Rattus norvegicus: one gene and its partners. The protein of the gene in region 1 binds, or shares a complex with, the protein of each later gene. Links are inferred from orthologs where the notes say so. Each region holds a gene or a part of one and is shown on either strand. Other genes may lie near its edges. The genes, in order: Xpo1, Pkia and Xpo5.

What was found.
Region 2: the proteins of Xpo1 (region 1) and Pkia are in contact, whole or in part, in an NMR structure (PDB 2L1L), measured with the Homo sapiens proteins. The link is inferred for Rattus norvegicus from reciprocal best matches to the Homo sapiens genes XPO1 and PKIA. Residues at the interface, in NP_003391.1 of Homo sapiens: Val518, Lys522, Leu525, Cys528, Glu529, Lys534, Lys537, Ala538, Ala541, Ile544, Phe554, His558, Lys560, Phe561, Thr564, Lys568, Phe572, Glu575, Thr576, Val580; in NP_006814.1 of Homo sapiens: Asn36, Leu38, Ala39, Lys41, Leu42, Ala43, Gly44, Leu45, Asp46, Ile47, Asn48, Glu51.
Region 3: Xpo1 (region 1) and Xpo5 share a complex: the UniProt entries of both Homo sapiens proteins name them as parts of the nuclear export receptor complex. The link is inferred for Rattus norvegicus from reciprocal best matches to the Homo sapiens genes XPO1 and XPO5.

Annotation. Positions count from the first base shown.
Region 1 is NC_086032.1:101,472,323-101,474,857, reverse strand, and holds part of Xpo1 (exportin-1), read right to left. Parts: intron 1,472-2,535; coding exon 1,337-1,471; intron 1,254-1,336; coding exon 1,094-1,253; intron 690-1,093; coding exon 593-689; intron 1-592. UniProt on the Homo sapiens protein: Mediates the nuclear export of cellular proteins (cargos) bearing a leucine-rich nuclear export signal (NES) and of RNAs.
Region 2 is NC_086020.1:96,311,288-96,314,944, reverse strand, and holds part of Pkia (cAMP-dependent protein kinase inhibitor alpha), read left to right. Parts: intron 1-1,513; coding exon of another isoform or gene 1,514-1,540; coding exon 1,541-1,691; intron 1,692-3,657. UniProt on the Homo sapiens protein: Extremely potent competitive inhibitor of cAMP-dependent protein kinase activity, this protein interacts with the catalytic subunit of the enzyme after the cAMP-induced dissociation of its regulatory chains.
Region 3 is NC_086027.1:22,241,226-22,244,882, reverse strand, and holds part of Xpo5 (exportin-5), read left to right. Parts: intron 1-843; coding exon 844-941; intron 942-2,269; coding exon 2,270-2,316; intron 2,317-2,728; coding exon 2,729-2,826; intron 2,827-3,374; coding exon 3,375-3,437; intron 3,438-3,657. UniProt on the Homo sapiens protein: Mediates the nuclear export of proteins bearing a double-stranded RNA binding domain (dsRBD) and double-stranded RNAs (cargos). XPO5 in the nucleus binds cooperatively to the RNA and to the GTPase Ran in its active GTP-bound form.

The DNA of each region.
Region 1 (2,535 bases):
TGCCTCTACCCCCTTCCCTTCTCAACTACCCTTCCTTTGATCCAAAATAAACTCTATTCTATATAAAAAAGGGGGTGGGGAAGATAAGGTGGTGAGGGGGAGAAAAGGGTTGGATGTAGCTCAGTAGAATGTTTGCCTGCTATATGCACGAGAATATGATCTAAATTATGTGCACACTTATAAAAACGTAAGAGATGGACTATAGAGTAGGTAAGAGCACTGACCGCTCTTCCAGAAATTCTCAGTTCAATCCCCAGCACCCACATGGTGGCTCACAACCATCTGTAATGAGATCTGATGCCTTCTTGTGTGTCTGAAGGACTCATACATATAAAATAAAAAAAAAAAAAAAAGAAAAAGCCAGACTTAAAAGAGACGAAAGCACTCCTGGACCTTGCTGAGTAGTCTGTCCTAAATATGAGTCTGTCCTAAATGAGTGAGCTTTAGAGTCCTGCTCTCAAAAGGACACAGGCAGCATTCCTGAAGACCTCCACCATATCCAAGTGCAGATGTATGGACACAAACAACATTTAAGTCAGCCAGGAACCTTGTCTCAAAAAAGTCAAAACAAAGAAATAGAAAACTTAAATACCTTTATTTGAACTAAGAAATCCCTTAGATGTTCTTTGAAAGCAGGAATATCTTGATTTAAGCTGAAAAGTCCTGTCACAAAGAGCTTTACTTGAGCACTGCAAATCAAAACAAAAATTAATCTTTAAAACCTAAACATTTAAAGTGCCATTTAAGAACCATTTCCTTATCCCCAGTACATTTACCAAATTAAAAAAACTTCAATAACAGAGAACTAGATATTCAGCCTGCAAAGGTGCTTGCAATAATAAAGCCTGGTGGGGTTGGGGATTTAGCTCAGTGGCAGAGCAGGGTTCGGTCCCCAGCTTCGAAAAAAAGAAAAAAAAAAATGTGCTGCAGTGATGTCTTATTAGGCAGAAGCTCTTACTTTCTTCCCAAGAATCCAAATCCCAGCCCCTGCACCCCTATCAGTTAGCTAGAACTGCCTCAATCTCCATCAGAATGGCTGCCTTGGTCCTCCACCTAAACCCACCCATACGGTAATAGTAATGTAATCATTTACTCTTGTAGGTGAGGGAACGCAGACTTAAGGAGATTAGCCACGTAGTCTTGAATAAACATCTGGTTGCTAACTGGACTTCCGGGATTTAGCGGTGTGCTTATCTTTCCTTCTTCAACCAAATTAAACATATATGCGAGAATTGATGCATGCATTGTTAGACCTGTTGAACAGAGCAAACCGATTAATCCGAAGACGGACCCTAACAACCAGAGCAATGAGAGGTTAGTCACGTTCGGCTCTTACCCGCAGTATGTGAGGTGTCTGTCACAACAGAAAAGATATGCTGAAGAATGTCACAAAAGTACGTTTGGTAAAAACTCTGCGCTGCAGCTTCTTCTTGTGCAACATTTTGTAAAAGTGTAAAAAGTATCTGTAAGCCTAAAACAACAACAACAACAAAATCATTACAAACTATGATTTGTGTAAAAAAAAGACAGGCTCATGAGGTGGTCTTGGCACTGGGGTTTCCTTTGTGAGCTGCTGAGATAGGAACTCTATCGCAATGACTTACTTCTAACTTCTGAGCATCTCAAGCTACACACAGTTATATTGTAATTTACAGCAACAGAAAGCTGGTTAAAGCCTGTTCTTTGTAGAGGATAATATAAAACTTCTATAAATACTTAAATATGGAGCGCCTCATGATAGTTAATGCTAATGTACACTTGTGGAAACTTCCTTTTAAAAAAAAAAAACATTTATTATGTATACGTCATACAGCTTTCTACCTGCATGTATGCCTGCAGGCCAGAAGCGGGCATCAGACCTGATTATAGATGGTTACGAGCCAACATGGGGGTGCTGGGAATTGAACTCAGGACCTCTGGAAGAGCAGACAGTGTTCTTAACCTCTGAGCCATCTCTCCAGCCCCCTGTGGCAACTTCTTAATCCACGACAGGTTCCAAATTTAATCTGGATTTTCTTTTTTCCCTTCCTTTTTCTTTTTTTGGAGTATAACCCTGACAGTCCCAAAACTTGGGTATTATGTAAGACCAGGATGGCCTCAAATTCAAGCTGTGCCCCCCAGTGCTGATATTAAAGGTATGTGGTGCCACCTTGTCCAGCTGAGCTCACCCCATTCCCATTTTTTTTTTTGCTTCTCTCTATTCATTTTAAATTAGCAACAGAGCTCACAGACTCCAAAGTATGCCAAAGGCATCATAGCACATAGTCAGATACTAAGCAAAGACAGGCCGTTTATTTACTCAGAGTGGTGCCCTGTAAATGAGGCTGGCCTTATGCTAGAAGCCTATCATTATGCCACTTCAACTTCTCCAGGATTAGGATTAAAGGCATGAATGACCAAACCTGATATTTGGGTTATTTTAACCAAACATTTTAAACTACTTTTTTTTTTTGGTTCTTTTTTTCGGAGCTGGGGACCGAACCCAGGGCCTTGCGCTTCCTAGGTAAGCACTCTACCACTGAGCTAAATCCCCAG
Region 2 (3,657 bases), on another chromosome or scaffold:
ATATATGTTCTAGCATAGGGCTATAACTCTAGCCCATTAGAATTTTGATTTTTTTAAAATAACTGTTATGTTGCTTTGTAATTATAATATAATTACACCATTTTCCCTCAGAGTTCTTCCCTCCAACTCCTCCCATAAGTCATCTAGTGCTCTCTCGCTTTCTCTCTCTCTCTCTCTCTCTCTCTCTCTCTCTCTCTCTCTGTCTGTCTCTCTCTCTCTCTGTCTCTCTCTCAATTCATGGCCTCTTTTCTTTAATTGTTACATATTTATACAAGAATGTATTAATACAACCTGCTCAGGCTGTACAGTGTTACCAATATGTATATTATCTTAGTGTTACCTATATGTATATTATCTTAGTGTTACCTATATGTATATTATCTTAGGACCAGACTTGATATTGGATAGCCAGTTTAAATAATCTTCCCTGGAAAAGACTATTTCTCCTACTCTTAGCACTCCCCATCTGCCAATAATTCTTTGTCTAGGGTTGAGGCCTATGAACTTTCCCCTTTCTATATTACCATATCCATTGGTGTCCTTGTTGTTCAGGTCCTGTTTAGGAATGTGCTGTGGTTTGAATAAGTACGGCTTCCTAGGTTCATATATTTGAATGCTTAATCACCAGTGAATGGAACAATTTGAAATTATTAGAGATTGGGAGATGTGACCTTGTTGGAGGAAGTGTGTCCCTGGCTTTGAGTTTTCACAAGCCAGCACCAAACTCAGTGTCTCTTCTCTCTAACTATAGGTCAGGATATAGATTTCTCAGCTGCTTCTCTAGTACCATGTCTACCAGCATGCCACCATGTTCCCCTCTCTGATAATAATGAAATAACCCCTCAAACTGTAAGCAAGCCTTAAATTAAATGTTTTTTTTATAAGAGTAACTTTAGCCATGGTGTCTCTTAACACCAATAAAACAGTGACTAAAACATGAAGCCATATTGATGAGACTTCATTGAAATATAACTTTTATGACATTTCTAGTAAACTTGTCTCACACCAAACTTTATGCTTCCTTGGCTTCTACAATCCAACTCCCAGTCTCGTCAGTAGTGATCCTTGAGCCTTAAGTTTAGGAATTGGGTTCTGTTTGAGTCAACTGAGACTGGGTACCAGAATGTCTTTGCATTTTGATTGCTTTTGTTTTTCTGTAATGGCATGCATTTGTTGCAAAAGGAAATTTCTACAATAAGTCATGAATTATATTTATCTGTGAGTGTAAGAGTAAACATTTAGAATGCAGTTAAGAATTATGCTGGTTTAGTAGAGCCGCAGTTAGAGAGGTGTTGGTTACTGTGGGGGTGTGTGTACGACTATCGCACCCTTAGGGTATTTCTGGCATGCTGGTCATTCATAATGGTTTGACAAACGTTTCAGACAAGAATCAAAACACTACTTCTAACAATTGTTTCCTGTTCATTTTTAAGCCATTCATTAATCTCACTGTGTTAAACATTCAGCATTGACTCTTATTGCACTCACCTGTTTACTTTTCTTTCTCTTGTAGTCCCTGCTATGTGGATATTTGTTAGCAATGACTGATGTGGAAACTACGTATGCAGATTTTATTGCCTCAGGAAGAACAGGTAGAAGAAATGCAATACATGATATCTTGGTTTCCTCTGCAAGTGGCAACAGCAATGAATTAGCCTTGAAATTAGCAGGTCTTGATATTAACAAGACAGGTGAGTCACCCAATGTACACCTTTCCAGGAACATGGAATGATTTGGCATTTTCCTACCCAAGATTAGGGCACAAAAACAAAAAACAAAAAAAAAAAAACAAACCAACAAACAAACAAACAAAACCAGCCACAACCAAAAATGCTTCCTTTGAAATTAAATGACACAGGTAAAAACAGTTCAGGCAAAATGAAAGTCTGGTTAGTTCCCCAATCCCACCATTTTTCAATGACTTCTCACTCAAAAATTAAAACCATAATCCAAAAAATTCAATATCTACAAAACTTTCAAATTACTTATGGAAAAACCTTAACCGAGTTAGGACTCCTACCACGGATAACACTGGCTACCTCCTCCATTTCATACATACTTACAAAGATTCACAATTGAGTCAGGAAGGCCTCAAAGAATCATTTCAAAAGAGGTACCCTAGAACCATTTTTATTGAGACTGATAATCAAAAAGTTTGTTATAAAATGGTTCTTTATTATAGTGGTTTTTAAATTTTTGAGATTGGGTGGTTTTGTGGGAAAAAAATGTGTTTGGTCACCTGGCATTACTAGTGAAAAAGAAGAATACCTTAATACATTAAAATATTTGATAGTGTCTATTTTGAGTATTAAAATAAGTTCTTTAGTAGTTCCTCCAGCCATAGCTTCTTCAAGTTTATTAAGAAGACTAGCACAAAATAATGATTAAATATAAAAAAGAATTCATAATCAAGGAACCACAGTGTTATATACATAAGATCTCACTATTTTCTGACTGTATTTGGGACATTCAGTATGGCTTTACTCTGAGAGTATATTGCAAAAGTCTTCAGATTGTTGAGAAATGAGTAAGGTTATGTATGTGATTTTTAAAAGACAGAATTTTTTTTCAATTACTAAAAGTCAGTAGTCATAGAAACCATTTTAATTTTAGATTAATGACAAATGTTGACCACATGGCTTTGGGCTGCACAGACCTGCATATTCTAGGGCTCGTTGTTTCTCCACCATTATTGTATACACTTAATTCTCAATGCCCTTTGAAGAAAGACTAGAGGACATTATTTCGTTTTACTGTCATGAAATGAGTAAATACATTTTTCTTGTGGTACAGAAATCTTGCTGATTTCTTTTAATAGATTTATATTTTAATCTTACATAAATATTCAATTTTAAGTGATTGCATGAATTTCAAGAAGTCTTAAAATTTGAGTCATAGAGTAGTTTCCTCTGTTTTGCCTGCTAGCTTTAAGACCTTTTTTATACAAGAGAAAATATTAGATTACCATAGGTAATTTCACTAATTCTGATATTTATATTCATAAATATAAAAAGTAAAATATTGCATTAAATACAATTTAATTATATAATTTGAAAAAAATCAAATACATTGCTGGTTATAGTGTATCTTGTTTTCTAAAGAACTCTGGATTCTATTTACAATGATCTAAGCCCGTGTAAATTTTTTAGTTTCTCTTCAAATCATGAAGTCTAGAACTAGGCAAACTGTTAACATCACTGACTTTATCATTCTCCATGCACAGAACAAATAATAATAATCAATATGAATATCTAAACTATAAAATGTGCATACCTAAAAGCAAACTTAATACACATATGTCTATTTTCTTACAATACATATTCAGCAACATCATTCTCTTTCATTAGTTTACAAACATCATTTAACCACATCTCTGTTTGCAATGTGATGTCAAATTCTAAGAAGAGTCCTCAAGCACCAGGAGGCTCCAATCCTCATGGGAGTTGGGTTTCTCATGTGGTATTTATACAATCACTTTCATCCTGCAGTATTCTACTGTCTGTCATCTGCCTAGATATGACTCCCTTCAGTTGGTTATCAAACATGGTTCCCATAATGGACTCCTTATTCTGTGCTTGAATATACCCTCACATCTGGGCCTTCTGCACATCTTGAAGGCTTCTCCAGGACTCTAGTAATAAAAAACTAGTGTATGAA
Region 3 (3,657 bases), on another chromosome or scaffold:
GAGAGGAGTGAGAGGGAGGGAGACCTGACTGCAAGGAACTGGTGGGACAGTGGACTTCAGTGCCGCATGATCCCTTTCCAGACAGAAAGAGTAAGACGGGGAAAACAGGAAGGCAGCTCCAGTGAGGGTGGGGTATTTTACAAACCCTCAGAGGGTCTCTCTGGAGATAAATTATTGTCTTCCTACTTCTTAGAAATATAACAAGTTTATTTTCTTTTCTACAGTTTGTTCAGTGCTTCTTTTTAGTCGGTTTGGGTTTGCCAGGGACGGTATATATGTAGTTTAGGCTAGCCCTACACATGCTGCCCTCCTGCCTTAACCTCCTAAATGCTGGATTCTAGGCATGAACCACCTGGGTTTTGTATTTATTTATTTTAGAGTTCTCTCTTCGGCCTATGCCTCCTAAGTATTGGCTGCTACCACTCCAGGATTTATTTTGTTTTGGTTTTGAGTAACAATCTCAGTGTTCTCCAGGCTGACCTGGAAATCTTGGGCTCACCATCTTCCTTAGCCTCCTGGTAGCTGGAGCTACAGATGAAGGCTGGTACAAAAGAACACTCAAGACTTCGTGTTCATCCAGAGCCTTTTGTGTAGGATGTCTTTTAAGTCTCCTCAGCAGCGCGGGCCTGGGATGTACAGCTAAACAGAAAAGGCAGTTAGGCTGATGCACAAGACATTGAGTATTTGCAGTTTAGGATTCCAGGTCAAGCAGGAGTGGTTTTCCTGCCAACACAGGACATGGTTGGCACTCGAAAGCCCTAGTAGACTGCCCGGTAGTGCAGCTTGTTGGCTGGAGAAAGAATGGCCTGCTCATATGAGGAACTCCTTAACCTGCGGTAGCACGTGTCTTCGTGAAGCCCCTCGTGCTCTTCTGCCCCCCAGAACACTATGAGACCCTGATATCTCCCATCCTTGGACCGCTCTTCACCTACCTTCACATGGTAAGTGGGTCGGCGCAGTGGGCAAAGAGAACTGGGGAGACGGCTCAGGCTGTAAAGCGCCCATAAAGTGTAATGACATGAATGTAGATCTCCAGAAGACACATGAAAGCCAGGCGTGTTGCCACACATCTGTAACCACACAGCATCTGGAGCTCTTTGGCCCAACAGACTATGATAATTGATAAGCTCCAAGTTCGGGGAGATTCAAAACTATGATGAAGGCGGACAGAAACACTTCATCTCCAGCCTCAACACAGGTGTGCACATGGCCCGTACAGAGCACCAGATGCACACACACACAAGGGTGCATGGCTGCTCTGGAGTCTTACCCTAAGGGGCTCCTGAAGTGCTCCCCCAGCGCCAACATGCCGTCTGTGAGGTGTCTCCCCAGCAGATGATTGCTGCTGTGTGTAGAGCAGTCCCAGAGAGACAGGCAGCTTTGTTGCTACGGGGCAACAAACAGTCCTGCTTAAGTCCTCCAGTGAGGAGAGATGATCAAAGGACTGTTTCCTCTGCATCTGCTCATGGCTCTAGGATGAAGCAGTAGACAGCTTGACAGAGAACAGATGTTTCCAGAGAGAACCAGAACTTCTCAGTGTTAATCAGTTTCAGCAGATGGTTGACATTCTGTCCTTGTCAGTCAGCAGAGTAAGGCTATAGAAACCGTACCTCCTTTTCACTGCATTTGGTCTGCCTGGCTTGGGAGATGTTGTTACAGGAAGGTGACTGACATCCCTGAATCCCTTAGATTGGCAATAAATGCAAATATTGAATTCTTCAATACTTGTAACATAGAAGTTTGATATCTGTTCCAACAATTCAACTCTTTCCTGTCTTGACTAAATCAAAAGTTATTGCTAACATTAATTAAAGTTCCTGTTTTAGATTCCTTTTTTCATATTTGGGCCTTGGTACAATTTAGTTTATAATTTAGAAAAATGACTTTAGGTTGACATAATGAGTTTCTTTCTGGGTAATTAGTTGGGCCTATAGTTCACCTTAATGGCTGTGTGTTACCCCTTACATCTATAATCCCAGCACCAAGGAAGCTGGAACAGGAGGATCACTCACACGTTTAAGGCGAGCCTGGGATTTATAGTGAGTTCTTTTTTTTTTTTTTTTTTTTTTTTTTTGTTCTTTTTTTCGGAGCTGGGGACCGAACCCAGGGCCTTGCGCTTCCTAGGTAAGCGCTCTACCACTGAGCTAAATCCCCAGCCCCTTATATAGTGAGTTCTTGGACAGCCTAGACTACAGAGTAAGAAGAAAAATTAGTAGTAGGCCATGTTCTCCAGCCTCTGTCCATTCTAGCACTTGTCTTGTCTCTCCAGAGGCTTTCTCAGAAGTGGCATGTCATCAACCAGAGGAGTGTCCTGTGGTAAGGAGTACCCCTCCTTGGTGGGTGAGCCAGCAGCCAGCTTCCGGTGGGGAAAGGAAGAAGGGGCAGGCAGGTTCTGACTACCCTGTGGCTAGAATGGCAGTGGTTTATAACCACCTCCAGCCTAGATGGGAGGCAGTTTGTCTGGACAGGCTGTTACCAGTGAGTGGGCAGATACTGAACTCAAACCTTTCTGTGGTTTCCCCCTTACCTCTCCTGAGCCCTCCATTATTCCAACGAAGCCGTCTCAAAAGACAGTGTCCTGCTGTTGATCCCTGGTAACAGCTTCAGAACACAGACATGGGGAGAAACAGCATAGAACTGGCCTTAGGGAGGGCAGGTGCGGGTCACCACTTTTCTTATCCTCGGCGATTTTGCTCTTTCATGGAATGTGTCCCCTGGTTCTTGGCAGTGGAGAAGATGAGATTGCAGAGGACAACCCCGAATCTCAAGAAATGCTGGAGGAACAGCTGGTGAGGATGTTAACCCGAGAAGTCATGGACCTAATCAGTAAGTGACTTGTGGGGACCAGGGAAGCTGCTCACCCGGCCACCCCAAGGCTGAAGGATAACAAGGCCCCACACAGACAAAAGCTAATAGTCCAAGTCAGTCTCTGAATGAAGTGTTCACAACCAAATAAGAAAGGGATCCAAAATGAGAACTTGAACAACAAAGTTGGCAACAACTTTCTAGCTTGATAAAATAAGAAAAAGTTTAATTCTTGAACATGGATGTCAATTTCTATGTTCAGAAATGTTGACAGATTCAATACTAGTCATTTATTGTCAATCCAAAGTAGTTAGGGATATGTCAGTCACCTTCCCTAAGAGTAGTCTGTGATGTCCCCCTAGCTGACTGACTGGAGGAGGGACCCCCTGTCTGGTTGGGGTCCTCAGAATACCACCTTCTATCGGGGAAGCTGATTTTTATTCTGTGGACAGTATCTGCCCACCAGCCTTCATGTGGCCAGTGATGGCCTGAGATAGTTGGTGAGAGGAGGCTTTATGGAGTGGGTAGACGGGACCTTCTCCTAGCCTAGGAACTGTGCTCTCTCCTAGTGGCTTGTTGTGTGTCAAAGAAGACTGCCGAGCACACTGCCACTCCCACTGCGGATGGAGACGGTAAGTGAGCGGTGGCTCAGCCCTTAGAGAGAGACAGGACAGACCTACCATAGTCTCGTGCTGCCCTGCTTGCAGTTTCCTTCTACCATGACATGACCCTCTCCGCTCATCAGTCTCCGCTCTTATGTTATCTCCTCCCAAGCACCTGTGATTGCCTGCACTGTTTCCGTTTAATTCCTTGCCTGTCCCCCTCACTGTGGGCTGTCTTAGGGACGGGACC